Linked DNA regions of Oryctolagus cuniculus. The protein of the gene in region 3 binds, or shares a complex with, the protein of the main gene of each other region. Links are inferred from orthologs where the notes say so. Each region holds a gene or a part of one and is shown on either strand. Other genes may lie near its edges.

What was found. Proteins that work in one complex are often made in the same cells at the same time.
Region 1: TMEM126B (region 3) and ACAD9 share a complex: the UniProt entries of both Homo sapiens proteins name them as parts of the mitochondrial complex. The link is inferred for Oryctolagus cuniculus from reciprocal best matches to the Homo sapiens genes TMEM126B and ACAD9.
Region 2: TMEM126B (region 3) and TMEM186 share a complex: the UniProt entries of both Homo sapiens proteins name them as parts of the mitochondrial complex. The link is inferred for Oryctolagus cuniculus from reciprocal best matches to the Homo sapiens genes TMEM126B and TMEM186.

Annotation. Positions count from the first base shown.
Region 1 is NC_091441.1:111,793,370-111,798,880, forward strand, and holds the start of ACAD9 (complex I assembly factor ACAD9, mitochondrial), read right to left. Parts: upstream 3,385-5,511; 5' UTR 3,299-3,384; coding exon 3,149-3,298; intron 187-3,148; coding exon 93-186; intron 1-92. UniProt on the Homo sapiens protein: As part of the MCIA complex, primarily participates in the assembly of the mitochondrial complex I and therefore plays a role in oxidative phosphorylation.
Region 2 is NC_091450.1:27,394,973-27,400,560, reverse strand, and holds TMEM186 (transmembrane protein 186), read right to left. Parts: upstream 3,287-5,588; 5' UTR 3,165-3,286; coding exon 3,162-3,164; intron 2,553-3,161; coding exon 1,914-2,552; 3' UTR 1,085-1,913; downstream 1-1,084. Other genes in the region: PMM2 (phosphomannomutase 2), read left to right, coding at 3,416-3,481. UniProt on the Homo sapiens protein: As part of the MCIA complex, required for efficient assembly of the mitochondrial complex I.
Region 3 is NC_091432.1:76,706,432-76,711,845, reverse strand, and holds the start of TMEM126B (complex I assembly factor TMEM126B, mitochondrial), read right to left. Parts: upstream 3,572-5,414; 5' UTR 3,476-3,571; coding exon of another isoform or gene 3,395-3,475; 5' UTR 3,225-3,394; coding exon 3,129-3,224; intron 363-3,128; coding exon 241-362; intron 1-240. UniProt on the Homo sapiens protein: As part of the MCIA complex, involved in the assembly of the mitochondrial complex I. Participates in constructing the membrane arm of complex I.

The DNA of each region.
Region 1 (5,511 bases), on a different chromosome or scaffold from region 3:
TGCTTCCCCTACAGTGTGCTGCTTCTAAAAGAAACACCAGCATCATGGCTCTGCTGATGGAGATCGGCAATGAGAAGGAAAACCATACGTACCCTCTTCCATGAAGAATTTTTCTACGGGTCCCACCAACTGATTGATTTCATTAAGTTCATCTTGGCTAACTTCTGGAAACGGGAAAACTCCTTTCTAAAAATGATAAACATTTACAAAAATAGTTAGTTTTTAAAAGACTTGTTTATTTATTTAAAAGGCAGAGTTAAGGGGTGGGGGGAGAAAGCAAATATTCCATCTGCTGGTTCACTTTCCAAATGGCCCCAACAGCTGGGGCTGGGCCAGGCTGAAAGGAGGAGCCTGGCAGGCCATCCAGGTCCCCTACGTGGGTGGCAGGGGCCCAAGCACTTGGACCGTCTTCCAGCGCTTTCCCAGGCACATCAGCAGGGAGCTGGATCAGAAATGAAGCAGCCATTCAGCCTGGCGCCTAAATGGGATGTCAGCATCACAGATGGCAGCCTAACCCACTGTGCCACAACACCAGTCTCTGAAAATTTAATACCTAGCAGCCCCTACTGCAGTAATATTGGTGAAAGGGGAAAGAAAAGGGCATCCTAGATTCCTCATCTGGCCAGCAGGACACAACTCACTGCAGTTATAAAGACTACACCAAGCGCTTAAGATGCAGGCTGTCCCAGGGCCATCTTCCTCCCCACACACCACTTTCCTTATCCATAACAAGTGATGAGGACTGTCCCATAGAACAGGAAGTCCAGGACTTGAGTCTGGTCCTGGATTTGCCACTTGCCAACTGCGGCCGCAGCCACCTCCCTTCACCTCACCAAGCTCCTGTTGACTCAAGTTCCTTGTGAGAATCCTGGAAGGCGGAATGAGAAAGGTCTTTTCTAAAATGGAGAGAATCCTACATCAGTTACTTTGAGTTAAAAATGGTGCTGCTGACAGGAGCACGGCGTGGCTGCCAGATCTGACCACGGAGCCTCTGGCCCTCAGTCGCTGCAGCCACTCCCTGTGCTGTGGGATCAGAGAGCAAAGCCCAGCTGTGGATCCACATCGCCCTGAACTTCACCCTGGCACAGCCACTCCTCGCAGGTGACTGGGCAGCTTGCATCATCCCTCTCCGTCCGGTTCTCTCCCACAGATGATTCTCTTTATCTCAGAAGGTGACTGTGGTCACGTGCCCCAGGACATAAAGTAAGTGTTCTCAGCTTCTGGCTCCACTGTTGTCCCACCTGGTGACCTGGAAAGTGACTTAGCTGCCAGTCTCTTTCCAATCCCTGACTAGCCCAGGATTCCCTCCTGCTGGCCCTGGAGAGCATTCCACAGTATCAAAAGCCCCTCTGGCCTTGGGACTCCAACTAACCCTTCGGCAGCCAGCATGGCACCAGGAAGTGGACTTGGGGGTGCCTATTATAAGCTGCCAGGCCCCAGGAGCCCTGCCTGTCCTCATGGCACTGGAGCTTCAGGAAGGTTGTCACAGAAGTCCTCATCCTTGTTCCCAGCCTCTGCACATCTCATTGACCACCTGACTTGTCTACTCCAGCACCGTGCTCCCCAATCTGTCCTCAGCTCTCTGGCCCCAGGACTGCAGGCTTATTGGGGCTACCCTATCCAAAAGCGACAGCAGACTTAGCGGTGTCCTGCCTCTCTGTCACAACCCTCTACTAAGGGGGTCTGGAAGGAAAGGCAGGTACACCTGTCACCACTCTCAAGCCTCTGGAGACAAAGCTGTCTCTGCCCAACAGAGGCGACTGCCCCCTCACACTCCCTTCCCTAGCCTTGTTGGTCAGCTGGGCAATGGCTATGGGAGGAGATAGGGGGATGATCACTGACATCGGTGGGCAGGCCACGTGACAGAATAGAGACAGCCTGGTAACTTGGTGGCCTTGGACCACAACCAAAGGGTAACTGCTACAGGGAGATGCCCCGGGTGCCAGGGAGAAAGAGTTCTTGGACAACAATGGTCAAAAACTGACAGGTGTGCCTCACGGGAGGGGAACTCAGTTGCAATGGACAGTTTTCAAACTTGTAAAGCAGGGAGACCTGTTATTCCCATAAATCTAGGGCAGAAGTCACGTAAGACAGATCAAAGCCAGGCAACTTGATTGAGGCTGCTCATAAGAAGAGAGGCCCAAATCTCACTGACTCAGCCTCCCGTTCAACCCTGCAGGAGCCCCTGGGGCACTCCTTCCTATAATTTTGCCCCAACTAAGGGCAGAATGATGCTCACCAGCCTCAATAACCTGGGGTTCTCTTTCTATTCTAAAAGGCTAATAGTCGCTGCCCTGTTCCTACTAAAGACCCAGAAATGCTGAGGGAGGCCTGACCCAGAGGAGGAGCTGTGCTTGAGCCTAAAGGTGGTCAGATACAGATCTGGGAGGCAGCAGTGACAACTCCAACAACTGGGTTCCTGTCACCCATGTGGGAGACCGAGAATGAGCTTTGGCCATTACAGGCATTTTGGGGAGTGAACCAGCAGACGCATCAATGAATGAATGAATGAATGAGCCCCTTGTAGCTGAAGAATTTCCATGCACTATCAACCCTACAGGGGCTCTACAACACATCTGTGAGGTACACACACCCACCAGCTCCATTTTAAGGCCGAATGAGACAAGGCTCAAAGTCACAGAGATAAGATCAAATCTCAGTCTTCAAAAGAGGATGGTGTTCAGCAGCCACATTGTTGCTGTGGGCGTGGTGCAATCCTCGGAAGGGAGGGGGCGGAGGGCACCTCGGAGCCAGATTCAGGAAGAACTTGAATGGCAGGGCGAGGGGCTAGGGCTCAGCCGCAGAGGGAAACCCCGGGGGGCCCCACAGGTGCCAGGAGCGCCCTGGGCAGAGCGGGATTCAGGTACCACAAGCAAAACCCGCACATTTGGGGGCCGGCAAAGCCCGGGTGAGCGTGGCTCGGCGACCTCTCCCCAGGGCTCTCCCAAGACTCCCTGGAAGAACTCGCGGGGACTTGTCAAAGCCACTCCGCCCGGGGACCCGGCCCCGGCCCCTGGGAAGGCTCCGGCGGGTTCGGATCCCGGGGTTGCGGCACGGACCGCCCCTCGGGAACATCTGGCCGGGCACGTTTGCGGGCTCCGGCCCTGCCGTGACCGGCGAGCAGCGGTCGGCCCGGGGCTCGCCTTACCTTCTCGATCTTGCCCAGGAAGAGCTCCTTGGCGAAAGTCGCGCTCCGCGGGCTGGTGCGCAGCGGGCGCCGGCTCTCCGTGAAGGCCACCAGAGCCCGACAGACTCGCGCGGCCGCCGCCGTGCGCAGGATTAGCCCGCAGCCGCTCATGCTGCCGGCGTCCGCTCCGGGCGCTGAAAGTGCAGGCTCGAGCGCCGCGCCTCAGCCAAGGGCACCCGGGCCGCGCCTCCTGATGACGCCATTGGCCGGCGCCGCCGCACCCACTGCGCTTGCGCCGCCAGCCGCCCCTGGAGAGCGAGGGTGGCTAGGCGGGGTCCGTGCAGTTTTGTTGGGTTCAGGCTCAGGCTTACGGTGGCTGCCGGTCGTTTGCAAAAGTGCAGGCCCTAGGACTATGCTTCCCAGGCGAACGGGAATCTAAGTGCTCCCATTTGCCCCCGTCAATGAGGCAATGCAAAGCAATGCACGGTGTTGGTTACCTCTGCAGGGAGCTCACAGCATGGGGCATGCTTCTTGCTTTTAAGTGGAGGGTGGAATCGCCGGGACCCTTTTGTCTTCCTTTGTAGCTCACGGGGATGTGACGCTGAGCCCCTCTGCCGTGCCTGGCTGTCGATGCTGCCTGCTACCACGCTTTAGTCTCCCACACTCCGACTTCTCCCGTAGCCCTAAGGGTTACTTGTTCTGCTGACCCAGGACAGTCAGCCCAGGACCCCAGAACCGAGCCGTCTCTCCGTGCAGAGCGGGCCGGGAGCAGGGTCTGAAGCCAACCCTCTCTACTTCCCCTCTCCCACCCTTTTCTCCTCGAGGACCCTTCTGCTCACCCTGCCCACCCGCGTGCGTGTTTGCATTCTCCCTTTTAAAGCTTTGTTTGCCACTTTGTGCGCTGCATATGTGCCTGTAGTTAGACTGCTTCTCCAGGGCCTGGAATAAAAATTAGAACTCACTTCCCCGGCCTCAATGTGATTGCAAATCAACTGCTTCTTAAATTCACTTAATTGAGGGAATGGGACATTGAGTCTTGCTGCCCCACAGGGTCCCACATCACAAGATTTGTGAGTTCATTGACCTCTTTTCCAGCTGACATCTTGCTGGATCTTGGTCTTCAAGACCAAGATCTTGGTCTTCAAGGGTTTTTTTGGGAGTCCCAAGCCCTGAGTAAAAAATACCGGCCCGTCTGCTACAAGCCCCCCTAACTGGAGCGTATTTTGCCATCATCAAAATTCCCGAAAGAACCTGATATTGCTGGTCAATCAAAGAAGGGCAAAGATCAGCACAAGAATGAAAAACACTTCTCAATCCCAAAACCATCTATAAGATCTCTGACCATATTTTTTTAAAATAAGCTTTATTTATTTGAAAGAGTTAACAGAGAAGGAGAAACAAGCAGAGAGGAAGAGAAAGATATCTTCCATCTGCTGGTTCCATCCACAATGGCCAGGGCTGGGCTAACCTAAAGCCAGTGCAAGGTGTCCAGCGCGAAACAAATCTTCCCAGCCAGATCAATCAGTTTACAGGCTTTCATTGGGATTCCACTCCTGGGCGAGGTTCCCAGCCCAACAGGGCGGGGCCGGGGAAGTCAGGTGTCAGAGGTTGGGAGGGCTCCTTACACAGGTACAGGGTGTGGGGGTTAAAGGTTGAGGCGGGCCTGATCCTCATTGGTTGACCTTTAGGTGCCTGCAGGGACCTTGGCAAGGACTTTTCATTCCTGGAAGTGGGGGTACGGACTCTCCATTCCTGGAAGTGTGGGCCTTCTCCCCTGCAGATCCCAAAGCTACCAGTCAGGAGCTAGGAGCTTCCTCCAGGTCTCCCAGATGGGTGCAGCGGCTCAAGCACTTGGGCCATCTTCTGTTGCTTTCCCAGAAGCACTAGCAGGGAGAAGGACCGGAAGTGGAGCAGCCAGGGCTCCAACTGGCGTCCATATAGGATGCCGGTGCCGCAGGTGGCAGCTTTACCTGCTATACCACAGCGCCAGCCCCAAGACCCCTGGCTCTAACTCCTCAGGGTAATTAAGTAATAGCTGCCTGGTCCCTGCTCAGTGCTTTGATAATAAATACTTTGTTCTACCACCCCAATGTCAGTGAGTTGGTCCAGGTTTTGGGGTTCTAAAACAAATGTATTTTCCTTGGGGGTGAGGGTGAGGAAAAAGGGAAGACGTGTCTTGCCAAAGGTGGGGAAGGGGAGTGCAAGGTGTCCGGCGCATAACAAATCTTCCCAGGCAGACGAATCAATCAATTCACAGGCTTTTATTGGGGTTCCGCTCCCGGGCGAGGTTCCCCGGTCCCAACAGAGCAGGGGCCGGGGAAGTCGCGTGTCAGAGATTGGGAGAGCTCCTTTTATAGATTCAGGGCATGGGGGTTAAAGGTTGA
Region 2 (5,588 bases), on a different chromosome or scaffold from region 3:
CCATTGGAGGGTGAACCAATGGCAAAAGGAAGACCTTTCTCTCTGTCTCTCTCTCTCTCACTATCCACTCTGCCTGTCAGAAAAAAAAAAAAAAAAAAAAAAAAGAACAACTGTTTTTAAAAACTCTGCACGCACAATGACTTACTACTTCACAGCCACTGGGACGGCAATAAGCAGAACAATGGGAAATAAGCAGTGCTGGAGAGAATGTAGAGAACTCGGAACCCCTGGGGCCGAAGGTGTGGCGCAGTGGCTTAAAGCCTCAGCCTGCAGCACCGGCATCCCATTGGGCGCTGGTTCCAGTGCTGGCTGCTCCACTTCTGATCTGGCTCCCTGCTAATGCCCCTGGGAAAGCAGCAGAGGACGGCCCAAGTCCTTGGGCCCCTCACCCGGAAGAAGCTCCTGACAGAGCTGGTCATTGTGGCCATTTGGAGTGTGAACCAGTGAGTGGGAGATCTTGTCTCTCCTTCTCTCTGTAACTCTGCCTCTCAAATAAATAATAAATCTTTAAAAAAGGGAAGGGGAGGGGGGAGGCAGGGAGGGGAGAGAACCTCTGGACATTGCAATGGGAATGTAACCCGGCATAGCCACTGTAAAAAGTCTGGCAGGTCCTCCAATGGTTAAACACAGAATTACCAGAGGACCTAGGAGTCCCACATCTTGGGATGCACCCAAAGGTGAAAATAATCCCAACGTCCCCCAGCACATGAACAGAGACAAACGTGGCAGTACACGGAACAATACCGTCCAGCTATAAGGAAGAATTACATGCCACTACACGCTACCCACACGTTGAAAACATCACACCAAGCCAACGAAGCCAGTCACGAAAGGGCACATACTGTGTGATTCCAGGCCATGCCATGTCCAGACAGGCAGATTCTAAGGCAGAAGGGGATTAGTGGCTGCCAACGGGAGAGCGAGTGCTGCTCTGTGGGTACAGAGGCCCTGGGATGGTGAAAAACTTCTGGGGGTGAACTGTGGGGGTGGTTACACCACACTGCAAATGTACTTACTGTCCCTGAACTGTACACTTAACATGGTTACAACGATACATTTGTGATGAGTACATGACAATGAAAACAGAGGTGATACGAAATTTATTGACTTATGCGTGGCAAAATCACGAAGACCTTTACCCTGCTACAAGCTACGTGGCCGACACACACACCGATCACGGGAGGCAACACGCAGAGGTAGAGCACTACACACACCCATCTGGCTCCATGACGCAGCGGGACGGCCTCGGCCTGTGGGTGCGGAACATCTCAGCTGGGGCGTCGCGCCTCACTCGGGGTGCAGTTACCATCCTGGGAGGGTGCAATGCCCCCGCCACGCTTCGTCCCACTCTTCTGCTAAGGGGTGCATGGAGAGGCAGAACACAGGGCTCCCGCGCGCTGCCTGAAAGCCCCGACCACCACCTCTGAGCAGACGCTTCCCAGTCGCCCAGGGCTACGGCCTTGCATGTTTACTGTGTGTTCTGACATCCAGCCCACGAGACAGAAAGAACTTTCCGTTTGACAGACGTGAGAAACCAAGGCTCACACAGACTCCGTCAGCTGCCCAGAACAGCGAGCTGACAGCACCCCAAACCCTGTGCTCCTCCCACATCTGTCTTCCAAATACCCGTGAACTGTCCGGGTGACCGTGGCATAGCTTCCTCCAAGAACTGGATCCGAACAGAACCTCCTGGCCATTATCTGCAAGAACAGCACGCGCAAGTGCAGGAAGAATCCGCACTCGGGCGCCTTCCCGTAAACCTGGGTCCGAATTTCTGTGTTCTTCCGAAAAGACAAACTCCCAGGGTTCTGACAGTCTCTAGGGGCCCGATTCCCTCCTTCGGCCTCGTCTACACCCTCAGCCTTCTTGGTTAGTGACCCAAGGGGCCCAGGGCTTCCCAGAGGCCCAGCTGATCACTTGAGCGAGTCCAGTCTCCCAAACACCTGTGTGAAGCGCTCTCTGTCCAGGACGCGCCCGTAGCGCAGAGGTAGGTAGAAGGTCTGCTTCCCGCTGTACTGCTGGATGCGCACAAACACCTCGTGGGGCCGGTCCCTCGTCTCCGTCAGGGGGACCACGTCCGCCACGGGGCAGTACGTGTCCTGTCGCCAGCCCCAGAAGGTGAGGTGAGCCACCCGCAGCACGGTGCCCGACTCGTTCACATACAGGATGCCTACGAGCCTGCGGAAGAAATGGCTCATCCAGCACAGCATGGCCAGGGCGAAGCCAGCTATGCCACCCACCAGGCACAGCGAGTCGAGCGGCATGAGGCCCTGGGAGTACCAGTAGAAGCCGGGCGGCAGAGCCACCAGCGTCAGGGCCGTCTGCGCCACCTTCAGCCGAGATATGTACCCAAACGCTCTGATGGCATCGAAACGGTAGACCATCTGGAACTTCTCGGTCTCTGTGCCCGGGGCTTTCTCCTCGGAACCGGGAGACCTGCTCCGCACCCACCTCTTGGGATCCTCTCGCCCACCGCAGGACCACAGCCCGCAGAGGGGCTTTCCCCAGGCGGCCGGCCCCCGCCACCTGGGCACAGCTCGGAGGAGGGCAGCCTGGAAGGGAGACAAGAGACCGTTTCCTCTCAGAACTCGGCTTCCACCTGCGTGAGTTCGTTAGGCTTTACCAACGGGCACTCAGAACACACTGAACGAGACAACGGTTTTTACGCCGTAAACGCAGCACCACTGTGCATCAGCACCGGCAGGGGCTTGGTTCCGGGATGCACGACAAGACACCCAAACCAGAGGGCTCACGTCTCTTATGCAAAATGGCACAGTGTTTGTGTGATACCTTATACCACTACTACGATGGAAACGCGGCGTAAAGAGTGGTTATGGGGGATTCCTTTGGGAGTAGCAAGAGCCCGTAGGCGTTCCGCACAGACGCAGCTGTCTCGGCAGCTGAGTGAATCCATGGATGGGGAGCGCACGGATAAGCAGCGCCGACTGCTCGGGGCCCACCCTGAGCACCCCCGCGAGGCTCGCTAGCACCGCTGCTGGCCCACGTGACCCCGCAAGACCACAGCAAGCCGTGGAGGAGCACATCGTAACCCACATCGGGGCAATCGCCCCAGGACCCAACAAACCAGAAGCTCAGGATTCCTGCCTGTTTGCCCCAACACTGGCTCCGACCCCGACGCAGCCCATCACCCTCCTCCTTACCATGGCCCTGCTCCCTGGCGCCGGATACAACCTCACCGCCGCCGGAAACTCTAAGGGCGCATGCTCGGACTACGCGCGTTGCATGCTGGGAGTTGTGGTGTAGCGTCCGTGGCCGACGCTAGCCCCGGGCATTGTGGGAGGCTGTGGGAGTCTCTTCCCGACGTGCTCTGCGGCGAAGAGGGCCGAACCCGGAAGTTCCGGGTCGAGGTCCGGGTGCCAACGAGTCGTCTCAGGTGTGGACGGAAACGGGGGCCATGGCAGCTCCGGGACCAGCGCTTTGCCTCTTCGACGTGGACGGGACCCTGACCGCCCCGCGGCAGGTAGGCGGCGCGCAGAGGGCTGGCGGCAGCCGGCACGGAGCACTTTCTGCTCCTAGACGGGACGAACGACCGTCCAGCTTGGGTGCCTGGGTGCAACTGAGGACCGCCTCCCGCCTCCAGGGGCTGCCCTTGGTCTGGGTGCCCCAGCGGCGGGAGACGGGCCTGAAGCAGCTCGTCAAGATCCCGGGGTGCTCGGAGAGGGAGGGCGGGGTCGGGAAACTTGGGTTAGAACAAGCAGCCCGTTCTCTGGCCGCGAGCCCTGAACCCCAGCCGAGGCCCCCTCAGCAGCTGTGTGACCTTCCCCGTCCCGTCGCGCGTGGCTGGACCTTGGAGCGAGATGCTGAAAGCGCAGGGTTCGGGCCGGCGCTGCGGCTGTTACTAGTTAAACATCCGTGTGCCTGCGGCGCCGGCATCCCATATGGGCGCCGGGTTGAGTCCCACCTGCTCCACTTCGGATCCGGCTCCCTGCTGATGGCCTGGGAAAGCTGCAGTGGACGGGCCCGGTCCTTGGGCCCCTGCACCCATGTGGGAGACCCGGAAGAAGCTCCTGGCTTCGGATCAGCGCAGCCGCGGCCCTTGCGGCCATTTAGGGAGTGAGCCCTTGGGTGGAAGACCCCCTCTCTCTATCTCGACCTCTCTCTGTCTGCAACTCTGCCCTCAAATAGATAAATCTTAAAGAAAGAAAGTGTAGATTTCCTAGTCCAGAGGACCTAGCGGAGCCTCAGCTTGGGCCAGTTAGCCCCAGCCGGAAGCGGGGACAGTGCTTGTTACGTGTCATCCGAATAGGACCAAATGCAAGGTGTCTGCTCGCAGTAGGCCTCCGTAAGCACGGGCCGTCTCCACCCGCCCTGTGCAGCCCCTGCCGGGGTCGGGGTCGGGGTCGGGGGGACGTCCTAGGTCGTCACAGGCAGCCTGGTGAGTCTCTGCACCCTTGGAAGCGTGCCCCCCGCGCTCAGATCTGCCTGCTGCGGGCGCGCGTACGTTTCAGCTACGATCAGCTTCGTGGCGAGGCTCTCCCTTGTACAGACTGGTCGCAGGAACACCAGCCATGGGAGGCAGCAGTCAGCACACACCTGTGGGTTGTTAAAAGCCCTTACTGGCGGCCGGCGCCGCGGCTCACTAGGCTAATCCTCCGCCTGGCGGCGCCGGCACACCAGGTTCTAGTCCCGGTCGGGGCGCCGCATTCTGTCCCGGTTGCCCCTCTTCCAGGCCAGCTCTCTGCTGTGGCCAGGGAGTGCAGTGGAGGATGGCCCAAGTGCTTGGGCCCTGCACCCCATGGGAGACCAGGAGAAGCACCTGGCTCCTGCCTTCGGATCAGCGCAGCACCGTAGCGGCCATTTTGGGGGTTGAACCAAGAGAAGGAAAACCTTTCTGTGTCTCTCACTGCCTAACTCTGCCTGTCAAAAAAAAAAAAAAAAAAAAAAAAAAAACCATGCTGGCCTAGAACTGCAGCCAGCAATTCATTTTTTAAGAAAAGCCGTATAGTAAATGTTGTAGTCTTTGCAGACCATATGGTCTGCAATAACTACTCAGCTTATTGCAAAAGCAGCTGTAGACCGTGCAAAAACATGGGGTGGCTGTGTTCCAGTACAGGCCTGCTTTATTAGAAAAGCCAACATCTGGGGCAGGTACGTAGCATATGGTTAAAGCAGCACTTGGAACTCCAGCCTCCCACCGTGGAGTGCCTGGGTTTGAGTCCTGGCCCCACTCCTGATTGCACCTCGGGTCCCTGCCACCCACATGGGAGATACAGGTTGAGTTCCCAGCTCCTAACTTCAGCCTGGCCCAGCCCTGGCTGTGCAGACCTTTGAAGTTCACTCTCTCTGTGTCTACTTCTTCTTCTCCCTCTCCCTCTCCCTGTATCTCTCAAATAAACAATTTTTTTTTTTTTTTTTTTTTTAAGAAAACAACTGCTCGGTTTGTCCCATGGACCATAGTGGCCTGGGGTTTACATTTCCATGTCTTTTTACGTGATATTAGGCCCTCTTCACTTTCTTCCCTTTTTCATCTTAAGTAAAACAATTATTACTACCATTTTAAACAAAGAAACAGAGACCCCATAAAGGTCTGACTGCCTCAGCTTCACGCAGTACTGGGGTCTCAGGGC
Region 3 (5,414 bases):
AAAAAATATTTACTACAATGTTTCAGCAATAATTTTGGACCATTTTTAAGAAGTAAATTATCCACAATCCCAATAAAGCACTATTTTCATCTGTCCATGTTTCTGTCCAGTTTTTTAAAACAGGTTTTCTTCAAAACAAACCCAATAAAGTTAGTAGGATCTTAGATACTCCTCAGAAACAATGGCAGTACAAAAGATGTGCAAATAAAGTTATCAACTTTCAGTCTGGGTATCTCTTACTTTTCTTTTCGAAGATATTCAAATTTTTTTTCTATGATTTCGATGACCATTGGTCTTCCGAGTTTTGCATCTCTTAGAGAAGGACTAGGCTGACCACGTGTATATGTTGCCATTCTGATGTCCTGGAAAACACAAAATTCCAGAATCACATAGCTAATGATACTAATACTAACAAAAACCTTAAAATTCTATAGGTTTAAATGAAAAATACATTCAGAATCTAGTAATGTGCCACATACCATGTCATGTGTTCTCACATACTTTCTATGATTGATTCAATCAACATTTAACTAAGATCTTATTACGTTAGACAAAGGCCTTTTGAGTCACACAATAACTTTGAGAAACAGGTAGGATAATAATCATCTCTTGTGTTAAAGATGATAAAACAGGTTCAAAAAGTTTGACTTGTGGTAGGATTTAGTGTAGAAGGATAAATTTCCCAAAATACTAAGTTTTTGTCTTCTGTACAGTTTCCCCATTTCCTCAGCCCAGCAAAGTAGCCAGGCCCTATTTGCTGTAGCTCCTCTGTTGAGGAGTAGAAACAATTGCACTTGGTGACAACTATCTATCCTGTTTCTTTTGAAAGCTGGAGCTCATTTTGGAGATTATGTTGAGTTTCCTGAAGAAGTAAGAGAAAAGTGGGATTATCTTGGAGAATAGTGAGGGAGAAAATCAGACAGGACTCTGTTCTAGGAAGTGGACCATGGCTATCTTGGATTATGAAAGTTATATACCCAGTTTTCTAATTGTACCTGAGGCAGAAGCAGGGCCTTTTACCAGAAATGACTATTTAGTATACCAGGGATCCTAGGCTTAGGACACTGGGCTCTGTAGTTCAAAGGTTCCTATGTTCCCAGGGTAATGAATAGATAGTTGCCAACATCAAGAAACCACGAGGCCTTGGCTGGTAGCATAACAGAAGCCAATGAGGTAAAAACAAACTGCTTTGCTCTGGATAATAAGGCTCTTGGGTCTCTGAAAAGTCTTAACAATAACATGATTCAAATCTTTTGCCATTATGACAATTTAGGGTTTAAGAGTAGTATTTAATTTTATTTAAAGAAGGAAATACGAAAATTTTTACAAATCCAAATTTGGTGTTACAAATATTTACCCATTACAACAGTAAATTATGAAAATTTATTGCTTTTTCCCTCTATCTCCTCTAGACTAGCCAATGTATAGATACAAAATTAAAGAGCCTTCAAAATTTTAACACCAATCTCCATTTTAACAACTTTTATAATGAAGGGTCTATACTAAATTCCAAATTTCAGGAGTTGTGGGCAAGCGAAGCAGAGTAGATTATATATAATGAACAGTTTAGCAGTTCTGAACCTGTAGTGTGCACAATAAACACAAAGGGGTGTTTATTTTAAATGCAGTCTTTTGAGCTCTTTCCTGAGGTATAAGGATTCAATGAGTGGGGTAAGACCTACAAAGTGCATTTTAATAGCACCAGGTGCTTCTACTGTCATGGTTAATGGATGTATGTTGAACACCTGTGAAGTAGGCATTTGGCGTGTAATTGATATGTACCAATCCTAACTGTGCTGAAGGGATAAACCATGCATTGCCCAATGTCATCCACATATATATAGAAGGTAGGGGCTTCTTTGAACCTTCTTATGGTGTTAAAAAAAAAAAAAGAGTAATAATGGACCAGTTTCTTAAACTGTGTCATTCCAGAACAGTGCTTCAGTCTCTTTAAAATATTTGGCAGGAGAGGAAAAAAAAAAACAACAAATTACAATTTTTCAGGAAACAATTGCTTCCCCCTGACATTCACATGAAGAATGGAAGAGAGGAGAGTAGTGTCAAAGAGATTCTGTACCTAGCCCATGTAGTATACTATGAAGTCAGGTATCAGTCAGTAATGTCATGTGATTAACTCAATATGTTACATAAAGTTTTGTTTTGCTGTCTTTCAAATGATTGAAGACCTCCAACTCTCACAAAGAAAACTTGAAGGCAATGTCTTGTACCAATCTGCTACCTAGTCTACACACTCAGTTTTGTATTAGGAAAACAAACACCTAGGAATTTGAATACAGGACATGAGATGAGAACAGCTAATATTTACTGAGTACTTGCTTAGTCTTTGCAAGGCACTATCAAAATAACTGCTTTCCTTACAGTCTCCCCATTAGAAGAAAGGAATAAGACTTTTACCAAACATTGAAAGATAAAGATTTTGTGATAACGAATACTTTATCTAAAAATCAATTAGTCCAAGCTTTCAACTTGTCACTACACTCATACCAATAAGAGTGCATCAATGTAGTTTTACAGTCTGCACAGCGTTTTAAACCTTTATAATGCTTTTATGTATGTCACTTTACCCGACTTTCAGGGTTCTTTTTTTTTTTTTTTTTTTTTTTTTGACAGGCAGAGTGGACAGTGAGAGAGAGAGACAGAGAGAAAGGTCTTCCTTTGCCGTTGGTTCACCCTCCAATGGCCGCCGCTGCAGCCGGCGCACCGCGCTGATCCTGGCAGGAGCCAGGAGCCAGGTGCTTTTCCTGGTCTCCCATGGGGTGCAGGGCCCAAGCACCTGGGCCATCCTCCACTGCACTCCCTGGCCATAGCAGAGAGCTGGCCTGGAAGAGGGGCAACCGGGACAGAATCCGGCGCCCCAACCGGGACTAGAACCCGGTGTGCCGGCGCCGCAAGGTGGAGGATTAGCCTATTGAGCCACGGCGCCGGCTCAGGGTTCTATTCTATATTCGTTTATCATTTAAAGAGCACCCCTAAAAGCCAGGCCTCTGAGTAGCAGGCAGTCAACAACAAAACAAAAACAGGAAATTTAAACGCAGAATGACGGTTCATTTTTTTTTAAAAGGAATATGGTCAAGGAAGAAATATCAACCGGAGAAAGTGATATTTACATGAATATCCGAAAGAGGAGAAGGGAGGAGCAGGGAAGTATTCCAAGTTGAAGGAAAATCCCGTACAAAGGATCGAAAGCAAGAGAAAAGCTTCATGAATAGTCTTTGGGTCTTCCACGTTATCTGCGCTTCCTACGTAGGGGACTTGATACTGCCCTGAATGGGCACGGGCGCTGTTCACTGCAGATTTTCAGATTCACTTTCTGTGAGTCACCTCAGAAGAGGCTGCGAAAGCACTGTCTATACAACTCCGGGCTTCTGCCTACCTTGGGCGCTTCCCCAGTTCCTAATGGTACCACACCGGCATCTTTCACGTCTGCACCAGCCTCACCCCTCAGCGCCGCCATTTTGGCAGCTCACGTGACTTGCGAGTGGGCGGGACCCAGAACGCCCTGGGCTGGAAGTGGAGTTGGTTTACGACTCTCGCCTCTCGCCGACAGCCCGAAGCAGCCCCCACCCAGTCAAAAGCCGCGCCCTCCATCCTCGCTGTGATTGGGCTCCGCGTGCAGGAATTACCGCCACTCATTGGCTTCGTGGGCCAGACGCCCGTGGGCCCGCCCCTCCTGCCCTCCTGGATTTCCTCCCCCTGCTATTTGTCAGTCAACCCTCCCCCTTCTGCAGCCGTGCTGAGCGGCGAGGGGCGTCCCGAGTGTAGCAGTGTTACTGCGCGCCTTCCTCTCCTCAGGGCAGCCCTGTTAGCTGGGGACTAGCCGCCCCCATCCCCTTTACTGCTTGAAGGAACTCGCCTGTCAGACCCAGCCCGTGTGTTAAGGTTCTGATTTCTCGGACGCCTCCTCTTCAGAGCCCCAACACGACCACCCAGCTCCGTCAGAGCAGCCTCGACTAGCCTCCTCCCCTCGCACCGACTACTCCTCTCTCCCAGTCTTTAGTCCCCTCATATTTCATCCTTTCGGCCCCCTCGGAAAGGGACCGGAGAGAAATTTGCCCTCCTTCCTCTCAGACGCTTCCCTTGTCAGCGGGTGTGTTGGGGTGGGGGTTGGGGGCGCCTCGAGAAGGCTTGGCGTTCTTTTGTGCTTGGTAAATGCCCAGCGCGATTTCCCAGACCGACAACCCCCGACCCTCCAGTCTCCATGTCTTAGAGAAGCCAAATTCGAGAGTTATATAATTTCTAGTGCTGCTGTTTCTTCTGCCTGAGGAAACACTTCGTCGCGTGGAGGGTGCAGGACATTTTAGTGCTCTTTTATATAAAAACAGGGTAGGGGCAGGGTGGCCAGCGGTGGCAGAGAGGTGGCTTGTCTTTTCTGCAAAAGGAAGGTGGGTAGTTCGGAGAGATTGAGAGAAAGGGTGGCTGTGGAAGCCAAGCAGCTGCACGCTCTCATTTAGGAAATCGCGGACCGTTTGCACAAGCTGATGCTTACACGCCTAATACTACCACAGCGTCTCTGAAAACACCTTTGGGGGAAGGTTTGGCTTCTCTCGAACTGGCTCAGTGTTTATCCTCGCCGGATAGGGAGCTGCTTGGATGCGAAGAGATGGCATGATGTGAATGATTCCAGTGTGAAGAAATCTGCTTCGCCAACTCATCCTGCATCAAGTGCCCATTGAGTAGCACTGTCACTTTAATGTCTCCATGCCAAGGGATTGCTTTCCTCCTTTTCAATCCTCTCAGTTAATACACGAGAGGATCAGATTCAGAGGGGCATTAAGGATCAAACCGGGAGGGGAGGGTGCTTGGAGAGCACAGAAGAAAAAAAATGAAAGTGACTGCAAGCTGGATCCTGTCTTACTAAGGGGGTGAGATTTGGAACTTCTGGTCCAGTAAATAGAAAGGGGCCTTTCAGTCTGTGTTCTTCCCCAAAGAACTGTTCAAACTTACACATCTTTTTTACCCCCCTCCGGGGGAAATAAGTTTAGGATTTTCTCTAAAGATTTGAAGATCTTTGTAATTAAACAGTTCATCTTTGCATTTGATCCTGTGTAAAGTAATGAGACAGCCATCTGAATTTGGTTTGTGCCTTAATTGAGTTAGTCATTGAACTTCCAAATATGTTACTGCCTGAAGAGGGGTTTTAATAATTTCCTATGCTTACAATAATTTTCTAAGCTTAAAAGAAATAGAATAAATATATTTTTCTCTAAACTGTGGACAGCGTCGAAAGTTTGGTTGTGGAAAAAATACATCATTATTTTCTTTATCTGAAATAGAAGACTCAGTTTGGATTTAAAAACTGAACAGTGAAGTGGTTTGCAACAGTTACCTGGCTGTTGGCTTCAATCCAACTGGATCAAGCTGAGACCTGAAAAGAGATCTTGAATCCTGTGGCA